Linked DNA regions of Oryzias latipes. Each later gene encodes a partner of the first gene's protein in a complex. Links are inferred from orthologs where the notes say so. Each region holds a gene or a part of one and is shown on either strand. Other genes may lie near its edges.

Region 1 (6,763 bases):
CAGTCTCTAACGCATAGGTAAAATATTCATGAAGCTTTAAGAGTTTCTGTTCAGTCCAGAGAGCAACTCTCTCCACTACATGAACCCAACCAGTCAGTCTTCAGGGGCCAATGATTCCTGAGGAGCAGGAGAACACGTCTGTATCGATCGCACAGCCTTGTGGGAATGGGAACGAGCAGCTGCCACCGCTCTGTTCACCTGACCTGAACTCCGTCAAATGAATAACTTGGGTTTGGAAACTGAAGTGTAAAACGACACAACAAATGGTCGCTGAACATGCATTCAAGTCATTTGTACAGCTGTTCTACTTTTTCATTAAAATATGAAAAACTGGACTATAATGATACCAGTCAAAATGATCAACCTACTACTCTGAAAGGAGATTACTGGTCTAGCACTAAATGCACAAACTAGAAGATCCACATGACCTCCCAGCAACAAGTGTACCTGAAGGACCACATGGTGTTCACCTGGGATTAAGGGACATTCTCTGTCAAATACTAAGAGAAAAGGTGTAAATCAACAATTCCGATGATCAGAGGGAAAGTGGTTTGTCAGAAAACTATTAATTGTCCTTTGAAAATGAATAAAAAGAATTCCTCCCTTAGACTACGGTCCCAAAAGTTTTCCTGGTGAGGGTTTGGTCTAGGTACATAGGTTTTTATTTGCCATCGTTGGTAAAACCCAACTTAAACAGTACTCTGGTCAGTGAAACTTTCAAACATTTAATAATTTGCTGTCATTGTCATTGAAAACAAGAAATCATAACCAATTAAATGGGAGCTAATTAAAAGTACATCTAATATAAAAACAACAATGACAAGAGTGTTAAAATAGTCGAAAACCAGAATTAAACGTCATATGACCACAGTACATGAAAAACATCCACTATTGGACAGTTTCAGCAGGCGCAGATTGTCCTTTTAATTCCTCCTTAACTATTCTAGGCACTATTTATCCTAGCCTTGTGCTATCCTAGGCACTTTAACATTGGGAGTTGGGTCATGTAGACCCACTAGACAGTGCGCTGAACCTTTTTTCTTCAATGATTTGTGATCTTCACTGGTGTCCATGGATTACATGAAATCTTTCCACCTTTGTCATGGTAGGGAGAACACGTCAATGTAAGGGTGGGGTCATCTGGACCCCATAAGATGCAGTGTCCTCTATTGATCTGTTTTCCCTCTTTGCCAACAAAAAAAAAGGCAGCTTTTGTTTTGTTTTTTCAATGCTCCCCACATGTAGACTACTCTTTTTTTATGTACGTATTTTTTTTACTGTATTAAAGTACACATCATCACATCACCAAGCAGACCATCAGATAGCAATAACCAATATTATCTTTCAAAAAAAGAAATACAGAATATAAAAGATTAATGAGGAAATAGTTAACAAAAAGGAAAATTTGCAAGTACGAAATTAAAACATTAAATATATATGTATAGGTAAAAAAATTATGTTTACAAAAAATTGCCTTGGATGTATTAATATTTTTAAGAAATTTGACAAATCTCTTATCCTAAATCCAGTAAATTTGGGAGTTTTTTTTCTCTTACTTTGCCCTTTTGTATGAAAAATTTAGGTAGGAGAAGCAACAAATTAATAACGTTTTCTACCATTTTATCACCAAAGTTAAAATGTGTAGAATTTGTTTGAAATGTATTAGTTTACTTTGTTTCTTTAAATTGTTCTAAACGGATCCAGAAGTGAAAGGATGTACAACAGTAGAAAAGGTGATGAACTGATTTAAGTAAAACTACAGTTATTTTCTATCTATCTTTAGAATTTAGAAATGAACATATTTGTGGGGTAAATGTTATTTGAAATTCTTTTATGTATTTCTTTAACTTTATTGTTTATTCAAAATGTATCTGGCAGTAACCATGCTTTTTTTCCAATTGATATAATTTAAAATATGGTTCCAATAAATTTCTCCTTTAGGTGTTATGCTTCTTTTTTCGCTAAAAGTATTATGTGTTTGTTGTTGCAATTTTTTGATTGAAAATATCAATACCATTAAGTGTTAAAGGAGGGTGTATTTCAGATTCCTCGTGATATTTAAGGTTAGAAGTCAGTAGTTGAATTACTCCTGAGACAAGAGCTTTCATTACACTCTTGAATTCTTTGCTTGTTACTGGAAAACACATTTTATTGAAGAACCTGTCATAATCGATGGCTGCCATTCTCATCAAAAAGATCAAATTTTTGATGGTTATATCATCATTGTTCCAAGTTATACTTTTGTTTGGTGAGAAATAATGTGCATAGCATAACGTCCAGGCACGACAAAACTTGCAGATACAAATTTTAAAGATTGACAGGAGTCTTTCTGATATTTACATTTAAAAAGAAATTGAAGACCCCCGATTTTATTATAAAATATTAAATGGGATAAAGTACCAAATTGATTTTGAGTCTTAAAGGCCTTTTTGAATCCAGTAACCATTAAATGTATAATTCAAATCTGAGAAATGTAGGAGTTCATAACCTCCTTTGCATGAGGGGGCATAAAATAGTTCTTTCTGAAGATAGTGACGTCTATTTTTCCATACAAAGTTAACTAAGAGGTTGTTTATTTCTTTGGAAGTTGAACAGAAGTAAAGATAAGGATAGATTAGGAGAAATTTCTCTTGAGATACCTTTCGCTTTAGCCAAGAGGATCCCGCCAAAAATAGATAGATCTATTTGAAGCCACATATTCATGACATCTTGCATTTTTTCTAATTCTCAAGGAGAAGTTTTGTGTTTGTCTAGATTTTCTGTCCATTGTTATACTGGTGCCTAAATATGTAACTACATTTTTAACAGGGATACCATGTTTTTCTTTAACCATTTTAACCTTTGTGCTATCCTAGGCACTTTAACATTGGGAGTTGGGTCATCTAGACCCACTAGACAGTGCTCTGAACCTTTTTTCTTCAATGATTTGTGATCTTCACTGGTGTCCATGGATTACATGAAATCTTTCCACCTTTATCCACCTTTGTCATGGTAGGAAGAACACGTCAATGCAAGGGTGGGGTCATAGGTTAGCACGAGGGTTAACTTTTTAATAATATTTGACATTTAACTAAACTAAGACGTAATCTCTATTGACGTAATCCAGAAGCGTTTGAAAAATAATTAATTATACTTGTATCAAGGTCAATGTGGTTTCTGTCTATTAAGAATAATGCAGTATCATCTGCTTGCTGTGTTATTTTGATTTCCTTTGAAAAATGGATAAACCTAATAAACAAGGACAATTTGGTATGCAGGAGTTTTCAAATCAAAACGTGCAACGTGCTTGCGTCACTACAGGCTCCGCCCTCCTTTGGGAACGCGCACATTCCTATTGTCCAAGATGGCGGCGCTGGTGCAGCTCTTGTGATGCTGACATGTTTTTAAAGGCTTCTCCTCTTTTCCCCGTAAATGTGTGACCACTCGGAGCCCGCTCTGGAAGCGCCCCCTAACCGAAGCAGCCTGCGCCGCCGCCGTCTCCGAGCTAACGCTCCCGGAATCCGCAGCAGCGCCGGATCTCCGCTGCAGGCTCGGAAAAAAAGTTGAAACTCTCCATCATTATTGGAAAATGAAGCGGCAGGCCGTGAGAGACGGCAGCCCATCCAGGGCCCTAGCCAAGCGGATTCGAGAGAGAGAACGGGAGAGCGCCCGCAGAGAGGAGCTGCCGCCGCCGCCGCCGCTGGCTCTGCTGCTGGCGGAGAGCCGGAGCTACCACCGGCGGAGCCGCAGCAGGGAGCGGGAGAAGCCGCGCCTTCGGGAGGAGCGCGCGGCCGCGCTGGAGCTCCACCACCGACACGAGCTCAGCCTCCTGGGCCGGCCGCCGCTGCGGGCCGCGGAGCTCCCCGCCGCGAGACCCGGCACGCTGGAGTACAAAACGCTGCTCATCAGCAACCTGGGCTCGCAGGTGTCGGACGAGGACGTCGAGGACGCGCTGTTCCACGAATTCAAAAAGTTCGGGGACGTGAGCGTGAAGCTGTCGCACACGCCGGAGCTCGGCCGCATCGCCTACGTCAATTTCAGACAGCCGGAGGACGCCAAGGAGGCCCGGCACGCCAAGTCCTCCCGGCTGGCTCTGGGTGATAGACAGCTCAAAATAGAGCCCATGTACGTTAGGAGGCGGAGCGTCACCCCCCCGGACGTCAGCTATCTACCTTTACACGCCCCCTATCCGTACAGACAGCGCTCCTTGTCCCCACCCGGGACCGGCGTGAGCAGCATGCGGGACCTCCGGGCCAGACACTTTGCGCTGGAGAGCCTGGGTCTGAGCAGAGACCGGGAAAGGCTGCTGGACTATTATGGTATGCTGGATGAGAGGGGGCGGCCCTACGCGTTCCCCCCCATGCCTGTAGTGGAGGACCTGAAGCCCGAGGATGACCAGAGGGCCACCAGCAACCTGTTCATCGGAAACCTGGACGGGAATGTGACGGAGGCTGAACTCAGGAGAGGGTTTGATAAATACGGCATCATTGAGGACGTGGTCATCAAACGGCCAGCACGCGGCCAGGGCGGGGCTTATGCCTTTGTAAAGTTTCAGAACCTTGACATGGCCCACAGGGCCAAAGTGGCCATGCAGGGCCGTCTTATTGGTGGAAACCCAATTAAAATCGGATACGGCAAAGCCAACCCCACCACCCGACTGTGGGTGGGCGGTCTGGGACCAGGAAACTCGCTGACCGCTCTGGCGCGGGAATTTGACCGCTTTGGAAGCATTAGGAACATTGACTATGTGAAGGGCGACAGCTTTGCTTACATCCAGTATGAAAGTTTGGATGCAGCCCAGGCCGCCTGTACCCAGATGAGGGGCTTTCCTCTGGGCGGGCCAGAGCGCCGCCTCAGGGTGGACTTTGCTAAAGTGGAGGAGAGCCCCTCCCGCCCATTTCCCCCTGGTTACCAGCTTCCTGTGCCTCCCCCCACGCATTATGACCTCCTTGGAGAGGCCTACAGTCGCCATCGCAGCCTGGAGCGCGAGCTGAGAGGAACCAGGGAGCGCTCCTCACCGCCCTCCCACAGCCTCCTCTCTTTGAGAGAGAGGGTCCTGCTGGAGAGAGAGTTTCCCAGCAGCCCCACCCGAAGCCTGGACAGGAGGGTGGGAGGAGTGGAGGCGTTTGGAAGAGCTGGCCGAGGGGCGAGGAGCCGCAGCAGGAGCAGGGAACGCTGGCTGAAGGAGAGGGAGGAGAGGAGGAGCCGCAGGAGAAGCAGAAGTCTGTCTGTCGACAAGCAGTCGGAGGAAAAGGAGAAAGAAAAGGGAAGGTCGAGGGTTCGAGTTCCGGGAGGCACCGCCTCCCCTGATGCAAGCCCAGACCGAGCACGGGTTCGAGCCCCGGACTCCACCACTGAGCCAAGAGACCACTCCCCTGACAGTGGTGGAGGGGGGCGACACGCAAATGCCACAGAGGAAGAGCCCCCATCCAGCCGTCACCACAGCAAGAGGTCCGCGAGCGTCAACAACCACCATCGAAACAGCGACGTGGCCGCCGCCAGCCCCCCCGCTGCCCACACGGACACCTCGTCCACCCTGAGCTCGCTGTCGGAGTACGCCCAGGGCTCCCTCACCAAGGTGTGGCAGGGCTTCTTTGCCTTGAAGAACAGCAGCTTCCCCACGGAGCTGTACATGCTGGAGGGAGGGGCCTCCTTCCTGAGCGGCGTTTTGAAGGACAGCCTGAATCTGCAGAACCGGAACCAGCCAAGCCAGTTGAAAATTGCCCAGCGCCTGCGCATGGACCAGACCCGGCTGGACGAGGTGTCGCGCCGCATCAAGCTCGGCCGCCCTGACGGCTTTGCCATCCTGCTGGCTCTGCAGGGCGCCATCGACCGCCAGGCCCCCGCCCCTGAGCCGGGACTGCAGATACGTCTGCTCCGGCACCTGGTGACATACCTGCGCAACAAAGAGGCGGCGGGGGTGGTTGGTCTGCCTGCCACCAAAGAGGGGGGCACGGGTGGGATGCTGTACGCCTTCCCCCCCGGTGAGTTCTCACAGCAGTTCCTGCAGGCTGCCCGGAGGACTGTGGGTAATCTGGACGAGGAGCACATGGTCATTGTGATCGTCAGCGACACTAATTGAGTCTGGTGCCGGCTCAGTCCCACACTACAAGTCCTTCCATGGTTTGCTGGGGGGCGTGTTTTGACTCCTCTGTCGAGGTTCCCCTCCGACAGTCACGCCGGGACGCATTCAATTAAAAAAAGCAGAAAGGTCGTCGCCCCGACAGGCAGCACGCCGCCCTTTCTGCTTCAGGTGGAACTGAGAACACTAATGCCTAGCCTGATGGTTTCTATGCTTCATACTTTATGTGTTTGTATCCTGGTGTCACCTGACCTGTGCCGACACCTCCAGTGACATGGAGACTTTCTGCAGAGCAGCTGGACTGTAAGCTGATGCCGGCTGATCGAGTCTCTCCTCTCTGGACTCTACCAACTTTTTATTTATAGTTCAAAGGCTCCTGGGCCAGTAGACAGAGTCCCGGCCGTCCTAACCACTCCGCCGGTGTTTTTATCAGATCGCTCATTCCACACTTCACTTTGCTTTTTATGGTGCCAGAGTGTTTTCTCTGTTGTTGCATGGACTAGAATGAATTTCTATGGATAAAGATGTAAACTACCTTGTGGAGACGTTTTAAAAAAATATTTTCGAGTCGTACTGTTTCAATTTTTCTTTTTTATTGTGGACATTTCAAACTTCAGTTTTTAATCTGTCAGTCCATCCACACTTGAACTACTCGTTTTAATTTCTGTCATCACATGTCAGCACTTTGATGGGATCAAACCA
Region 2 (6,469 bases), on another chromosome or scaffold:
TCTCAGCTTAAGGATTCATCACAACGCATTTATTTAGATTAAACTCCAGCACACACACACACCGACTGTCCTGCAGAACTGCTCTATTGATCGAGACCTGTAATGCCCATGTGGTATCCCTGGAAGGCATCTGTTAGTCCATCAGCAACCATGGAGTCCTGGAGAGAAACGTCTCCCATCTTCACGCCTGCTCTCATTTGCACTGTATGAGGAACCTAAAAAGAAACAAAAAATATTGTTGAGAAGGCTTCCTAAACTTTTATCAACACTGCTATTAGTGCGTACCCTGCTCATGCTCTCCATGCCTCCTGCGACAACTACAGTGGACTCTCCTGCTTGGATGGATTGAGCTCCCAGACACACAGATTTCAGCCCAGAACCACACACCATCTGGCAGCTCCATGCTGGGACAAGATATGGGATACCGGCCTTGACACTGGCTTGTCGTGCAGGGTTCTGCCCTTGCCCTGAAACAAAGAAAAGTTTGGAATTTGTCTCCAGTCTGAAACTCTACAGACTTTTCAAGTATTTACCTGCAGTTAAGACTTGGCCCAAAACAACCTCAGAGACCTCTTCTGGTTTCACTCCAGCTCGCTTTAGAACATCCTTAATGACTTCTGAACACAGGTCACTTGCAGACAGTGTGGACAGAGCACCGTTCAGACATCCTTCATTAAACAAAGAAGTGATGACAATAGGCTATAAGGAGTATTGTCTGTTTTAAAACATAAACGCCTTTAGTCAACACCAAATACAAGTTCACTGAGAAATACTAACCTTAGGAATAGCATTGACCAAATAAAAGCACAACTAACAAACCAATACAAACACACAATTTTGTTTTTTAATTAACTATTTTAGTTAAATTATTGCATTGAATTATTTACACTGTAGCAAGTTCTTTATCACATTGCCTTAGAATGAATCTTTTGAACTTTACTTCAAAAAAATAACATGACTAAAGAAGATTCACTTGTTCACATTCCTTCATCATGTTTGTCCTCTGTCTGTCCAGGCTGAACTTTAAAAATAAATTAAATGAGAAAAAGGCGATGGAACTAGTGTGTAAAAATAATAACAATATTTAAACTTTATGTTGTTATAAACTTACAGTTTAACGGCTCTATCTTTTTTTTCCAAATTATCGTGATTCAATAAAAGGAGTAAAGATTAGAGCCCTACGTCACACAGACGTTCAGTGAACAGCCAATCATAGCAAACTTGTGTTCCGTGGCCCTATGACTGCCAGCCAATCAGAAACAAGAGAAAACTGCGGACACAGGAGCTAGCCAATCGTAACTTTGCAAATACACAGCGCGTTGGACACAACCACCTTCCTATTTACAAAAGACACCTTTAACATGAAGGAAAGTACCACAAAAAAGTACATGATAAGCGTAAAACCAATTCAGTTAGAAATGCAAAATGTTTTCATGTTGTGTTGGCTTGACAAAATATTCGAAATATGATTCACGGGACTATGAAATGAAAGAAATCATGGTAAATATATATGAGCTACGTTACCAATTGGAGTACGTGCAGCAGAAACAATAACAACAGGCTCGGCGTTCATCTTGTTCAGAATGCTGGAGTAGCTTTAGTCTTCAGGAAATCTTTCTGTCAGTTCACTTACACACGACTCAGTTGATACTGAACTGAATGAACGAACGCATGAATGGTATTTATGCAAGTCCCTTGATATGAGAAACAGCGCCACCAACTGGTCTGGAGGATTCATAGCAAGTCTTTGAAAATGAACTTCCGTAAATACTATTTACAATACTGTTTTCATTCTTCAGGGATGTTTAAACAACCCAAATGGTGCATAAAAAAAGTTTATTAGCTTTGCGTTCATATTTTTCTCTCATAAAAATAACTACTTGAATGTGTTTAATTTATACTTATGTAATTTTGTACTTCATGATAGGTGCCAGTGACAAATATAACGAGTTCCCCCATCAAAGTATTAGAAATCTTTATTGTTTTTGGTCAGTACATAAAAGGGTTGAAGTCAGAATATGAATGACACATATGAACTCACATTTTAGAAGTCTATCAAACATAACTTTTTCCAATTTAAAACAAAAATTGTATTTAAAAAAACCAACCAAGTAAAAAAAAAAAAAAAAAAAAAGAGGCCAACATAAAAATGACGTTCTTGCTTTCTTTGTATTGGTGAAACTACTGTCATTCAAACACCTTTTGAAATGATTAACAACACCAGATGCTGGATTTCAGTGTCATGAGCTTAACGGCATAGATGATGTGCCCAAATAAACACCAGTGAAACCTCAAGTTTTTTTAAACATAAATCCCACACAATTCAAATTGAACATTTAGTGTTTGTTGTTATATCCCTGTTAAGCTACACAAATGTAACAAAGGCATCAAGATACACAATGGGACAAGAGTGAAAAAACTTCTTGGACAGCAGTGCTGCATCACATACTATTTAGCTTTTGTCTTGTTTGTAGATTGTATAAAAAAAAGACAAAAAAAGACAGTACTTTCTAAAGTACATTACAAATCGGCACCAGCGTTCGTGTTGCCCTCCAGGCCATTCTGAGTGTTCCTTGACCCTGCAGTCCTAGCGCCTTTGGTCACCAAGGCAGTCTTGTCTTCATGGGGATCAGTGGTCGAGTCTGTGTCATTCGAGTGCTGAGTTAATGACGTCTCGCTGCCTGTTGGAGAGTCCACGCTCTCGTAGCCCGCACTCAGCTGGTTTCCGAAACCCACAGGTCCTCCAGCTCTCCTGGAAGCAGTCTGACTGCCGGGGACCTCCGATGAGTGGTTGGAGAGTTTGGTCTCAGCGTCACCAGGGCTGGACACCATGGGGGACATTGGGAAATCTTCCTCAGTGCTACTGACTTCCCGGTATAAGTTGGGTGGGGTGGTGGTCTCCCTCCTCTGAGATGACTTACCATTGCTTGGACCATTGGACACCCTCCCGTAGTCTCTGCTTGTTGCTTCAGAGGCAGCGCTGGGCTCCTGTATTGTGGACAGCTCAGCAGATGAGTTGGAAGCAGCGGGTGAAGTCCTGCTGGGCTCTGCTCCGGCTGAGAGCCCCTGAGACTGAGAAATCAGCTGACGGGATTCTTTCAACTGTTGCTGCAGGACAAGGATGGTACTCTGCATCCCCTCCACCTCCTCGTCAAGCTGGATGATAAAATCATTCAGCTCTGAAAGTAAGAATAAGCTTAGTTTAATCTATGCACAGAGGACATTTGGGTACGGGAGCTTTTCGTTTCCTCACCATCTTGACTGCTCTTGAGCTCCTCGCTGTACTTTTTCTGCAGGGCCAGCTCAGCCTCCAGCTGGGCAATTCGTCCCTGCGATAGCTGCCGCCCCAGCTCCTGGTTTTCCTGAATCAGCATTCGACATTTGGCCATCAGTTTCTTCCCTGTTTGGCTGTAAGGGAAACAAGTCTCACATCACACAGTGAACCAAGTGAAAACAGGCAGAATGTTAGCATGGACCTGTTCCTCTTCACTCTCCAGCTGTCCAAGGGTTTACCAGGAACTCCTCAATGTCATTAACAGCTATTATTAAGCATTTTCATTCCATCAGTTAGACGTCTGAAGTAACCTAAACATGCCGTCTGATGCCTGTTCAATACAGACATATGAAACCATGAACCTAAATGATGCTCTGACTTTTAAGGCATTTCGATTCTATCGTTTTACTCTAAACTACGTTATTGTGTTATACATAGAAAACGGTTAATACTAAAAAATAAAGGCATGAGAAAATTAGAATCGGAAATATTTCAGGATGTGGAAAAAAAGTTATAAACAAAGCACAGTCAAATCTTGATTTAAAAAAAAACCCACAAAAGAACCTTCAAACTTGAAATCTTTGTTGAAAAGGTCATGCAATCCTTTTTTTTTTTAAAAACATAAAGAGCAGTTTTTTTCACAGTACAGTTAGCTCTTGATACTGCTGGCTTCACAAAAAGTCTGAAACAGTACGGTGACATGTCATTGTGCCCTACTCAAGAAGCCAAAGTGAATCCAAAAATGACATGTAGACCATAATTAAATGTCTTCCATTCCCTTTATATTAAATTAAGTCACCCATACCAAGTACAGAGCCTTAATGTTATATCAACAACAAAATAAAAACTTCCAAAGTTTTTTATCATCATTTTCAGTAATTCTAACTTTCATCATACTGGTTTGAATTTGAAGTTTTCTCTTTCCTGTGTTGAAAGAAAATGTTTGTAAAACCCCTATAAATGTCAAACATTTCTTATCTCACCTGGTGAGAACCGTGACTTAATTATTTTAGTGTACAAACAAAAAGTCCACAAGTATCTCACCACACTGGCGATGAAAAAAAATAAAAATAAAGAGTAACTCTTTTGTTATTAAGCTGTGGGGAAAATGATTAGGTCAATCAAAAACAGTACACAGAATGAATAAATACATCTCGGTCAACTCGTAACACAATGTGCCAAGGACATTTGCAGTTTACAACTCAGTTACTGGACTCAACACACCTACGGCAATAACTGGATATGCGATCATCCCAAAGTGTCACTTGTGCAAAAAAAAAAAAACATTCACAACAAAGTCAAAGAAGATCGTCGTGCTGCAGGATTCACACACTGCAGTAAGAGTCTAAGGGAAACAAGAAGGATCAAATGGAATGTCAATCAAAGAAAAAAGAAAAGAAACAAAAAACACATTACAAGGTTAAAACAAAAGTACACTACCGTGTGCAGGCCCGTGTTCAAAGACAGCAGACCCTCACGCCTGAACGTGGTTCTTCTGTCAACTTGCTCCGCTCAGTCTTACTGTCATTTCTAATGTCTCTGACTTTTAAATTCTAGAGACTTTCCTGGTGTTACTCAAATGTATCTGAGAGTCCAAAAAGTCTTTCAAATTCTCAGGACAGCTACTGTTTATGTGAAGCAATCCACAGTTTAAATGTCTTTTTTCTTTTTAAATGTCTTTTAAATGTTCGATTGCCGCTTTAGGCTAGGGATGCTCCCTGCCGGACACAACTTCTCCCATGACCCCCTACTTAATATGTGAACTGTCTGAGGGGGCATGGAAGGCAGTTCCATGTGGAGAAATGAGAGACCACCTCTTCAGAGCAGTCCGGACTCCATCGGGCCCTTTGGACGGCGGGGGGATATAAGAGGAGAGAGCCGAAACAAGTGTCACCTGACCATACTGTCTTTTCTCTTTAAATTGTGTGATGTGTAGCTGGCACGGTGCGAGAGTGCAAAAGCAGTTTGGTTTGGGAGTGTCTGGATTTCTGTCAAGTCTGAGCCTCGCGGTGAGCACAGCTTTTGTCAGCCTCTCCCCCCCCCCACCATTGCTCCTGCATGCCTGCAGTGAGAGTGAGGTTGGGGGACGTGAGGAAGTCTTGACTTTTTTTTTGTTTTGTTTTTTTTTTAGGTGGGGGGAGATATTTTGATTGTCTTTACCTATCAGGTGTAAATTTCCAGGCACTCAGTTCATTTTGGGCCTGCTCCAGTTTGTCTTTAGTCTGTTCCAGTTCAGCCTTCATTTTGAGGAAAAACAAGTTGATGGCTGGATCCACCATGGACGACCGCAGCTGGGCTGCACTCGGCTGCTGGACTTGCTTCAGGTACTGGATCTGTGTCTGTAGGAGGCAACAGGCAGGTGTTAGAGTCCAGTCACACACATTATGAAGCTGCTTTTAACACCTAAACATCTTCCCTTTAAAAATGTAACAAAACTGCTTTCAAATAGATCAAAATCTAGGCTAATCTGCGTCTAGACGCTTAGTTTTAAGTCCCACTTCGATCCTCTTTTGAGTGATTTTAAAAACTTTCCCAGTGGTCTTGTAATTACGCTTATGTTGTTTTTAGAATCAGAATCACTTTATTGATCCCACACATGGGAAATTTGTGTGTTACAATAGCATTGTAATCTTAAAAGGAAATAGAATATAAAAACAAAGTAATTGTAGAAAAAAATTATGTAAAAAATATCTTTATTTTAAAGGACATATTTTCTGCAGAAAGGCAGTTGTTCGTTAGAAATTTGCCTCTGCTTCTCCACCCATTTGTTATCGCTCTCTCCTGCTAGCTTACAGCCCTTCACAGACTCAACCTAACATTACCAGCGCAACAAAAATCGTGAGCAATACTGGAGCCTTCCAGACGAGTTCTGAGCCTGATGCCAGCTCAGGCGAGGAAAACAAAGACGCACGTGGATCTGCCTACAAGTGGATGGATCAGAATGCAGCAGATCAGAGATCAGTCTATTTTCCTATGTAGCAGAATTTTACCAACCACTCCTGATTCATGATTTGAATAAAGAAATACTTAGAAATGCAACTTTAAGCCTAACTGTCTTTAAATATGTCCTCTTCCATTAGAAAAACCCCACAAGAACATGTCAAAAACACAATTTTCATCCGAGGCTTTAAGTAAAAGCTGCTTTCACTCTAGTGTCGTTTTAAAATAGCAAACAGGCGATTCAGTATCCACATC

The links. The genes of interacting proteins can lie anywhere in the genome.
Region 2: rbm15b (region 1) and wtap share a complex: the UniProt entries of both Homo sapiens proteins name them as parts of the WMM complex. The link is inferred for Oryzias latipes from reciprocal best matches to the Homo sapiens genes RBM15B and WTAP.

The regions. Positions count from the first base shown.
Region 1 is NC_019863.2:6,225,697-6,232,459, forward strand, and holds the start of rbm15b (putative RNA-binding protein 15B), read left to right. Parts: upstream 1-3,009; 5' UTR 3,010-3,568; coding exon 3,569-6,061; 3' UTR 6,062-6,763. UniProt on the Homo sapiens protein: RNA-binding protein that acts as a key regulator of N6-methyladenosine (m6A) methylation of RNAs, thereby regulating different processes, such as alternative splicing of mRNAs and X chromosome inactivation mediated by Xist RNA.
Region 2 is NC_019882.2:7,319,993-7,326,461, forward strand, and holds the end of wtap (pre-mRNA-splicing regulator WTAP), read right to left. Parts: intron 5,614-6,469; coding exon 5,435-5,613; intron 3,409-5,434; coding exon 3,254-3,408; intron 3,180-3,253; coding exon 2,521-3,179; 3' UTR 1,959-2,520; downstream 1-1,958. Other genes in the region: acat2 (acetyl-CoA acetyltransferase, cytosolic), read right to left, coding at 1-6, 98-215, 286-467, 534-668, 1,525-1,573. UniProt on the Homo sapiens protein: Associated component of the WMM complex, a complex that mediates N6-methyladenosine (m6A) methylation of RNAs, a modification that plays a role in the efficiency of mRNA splicing and RNA processing.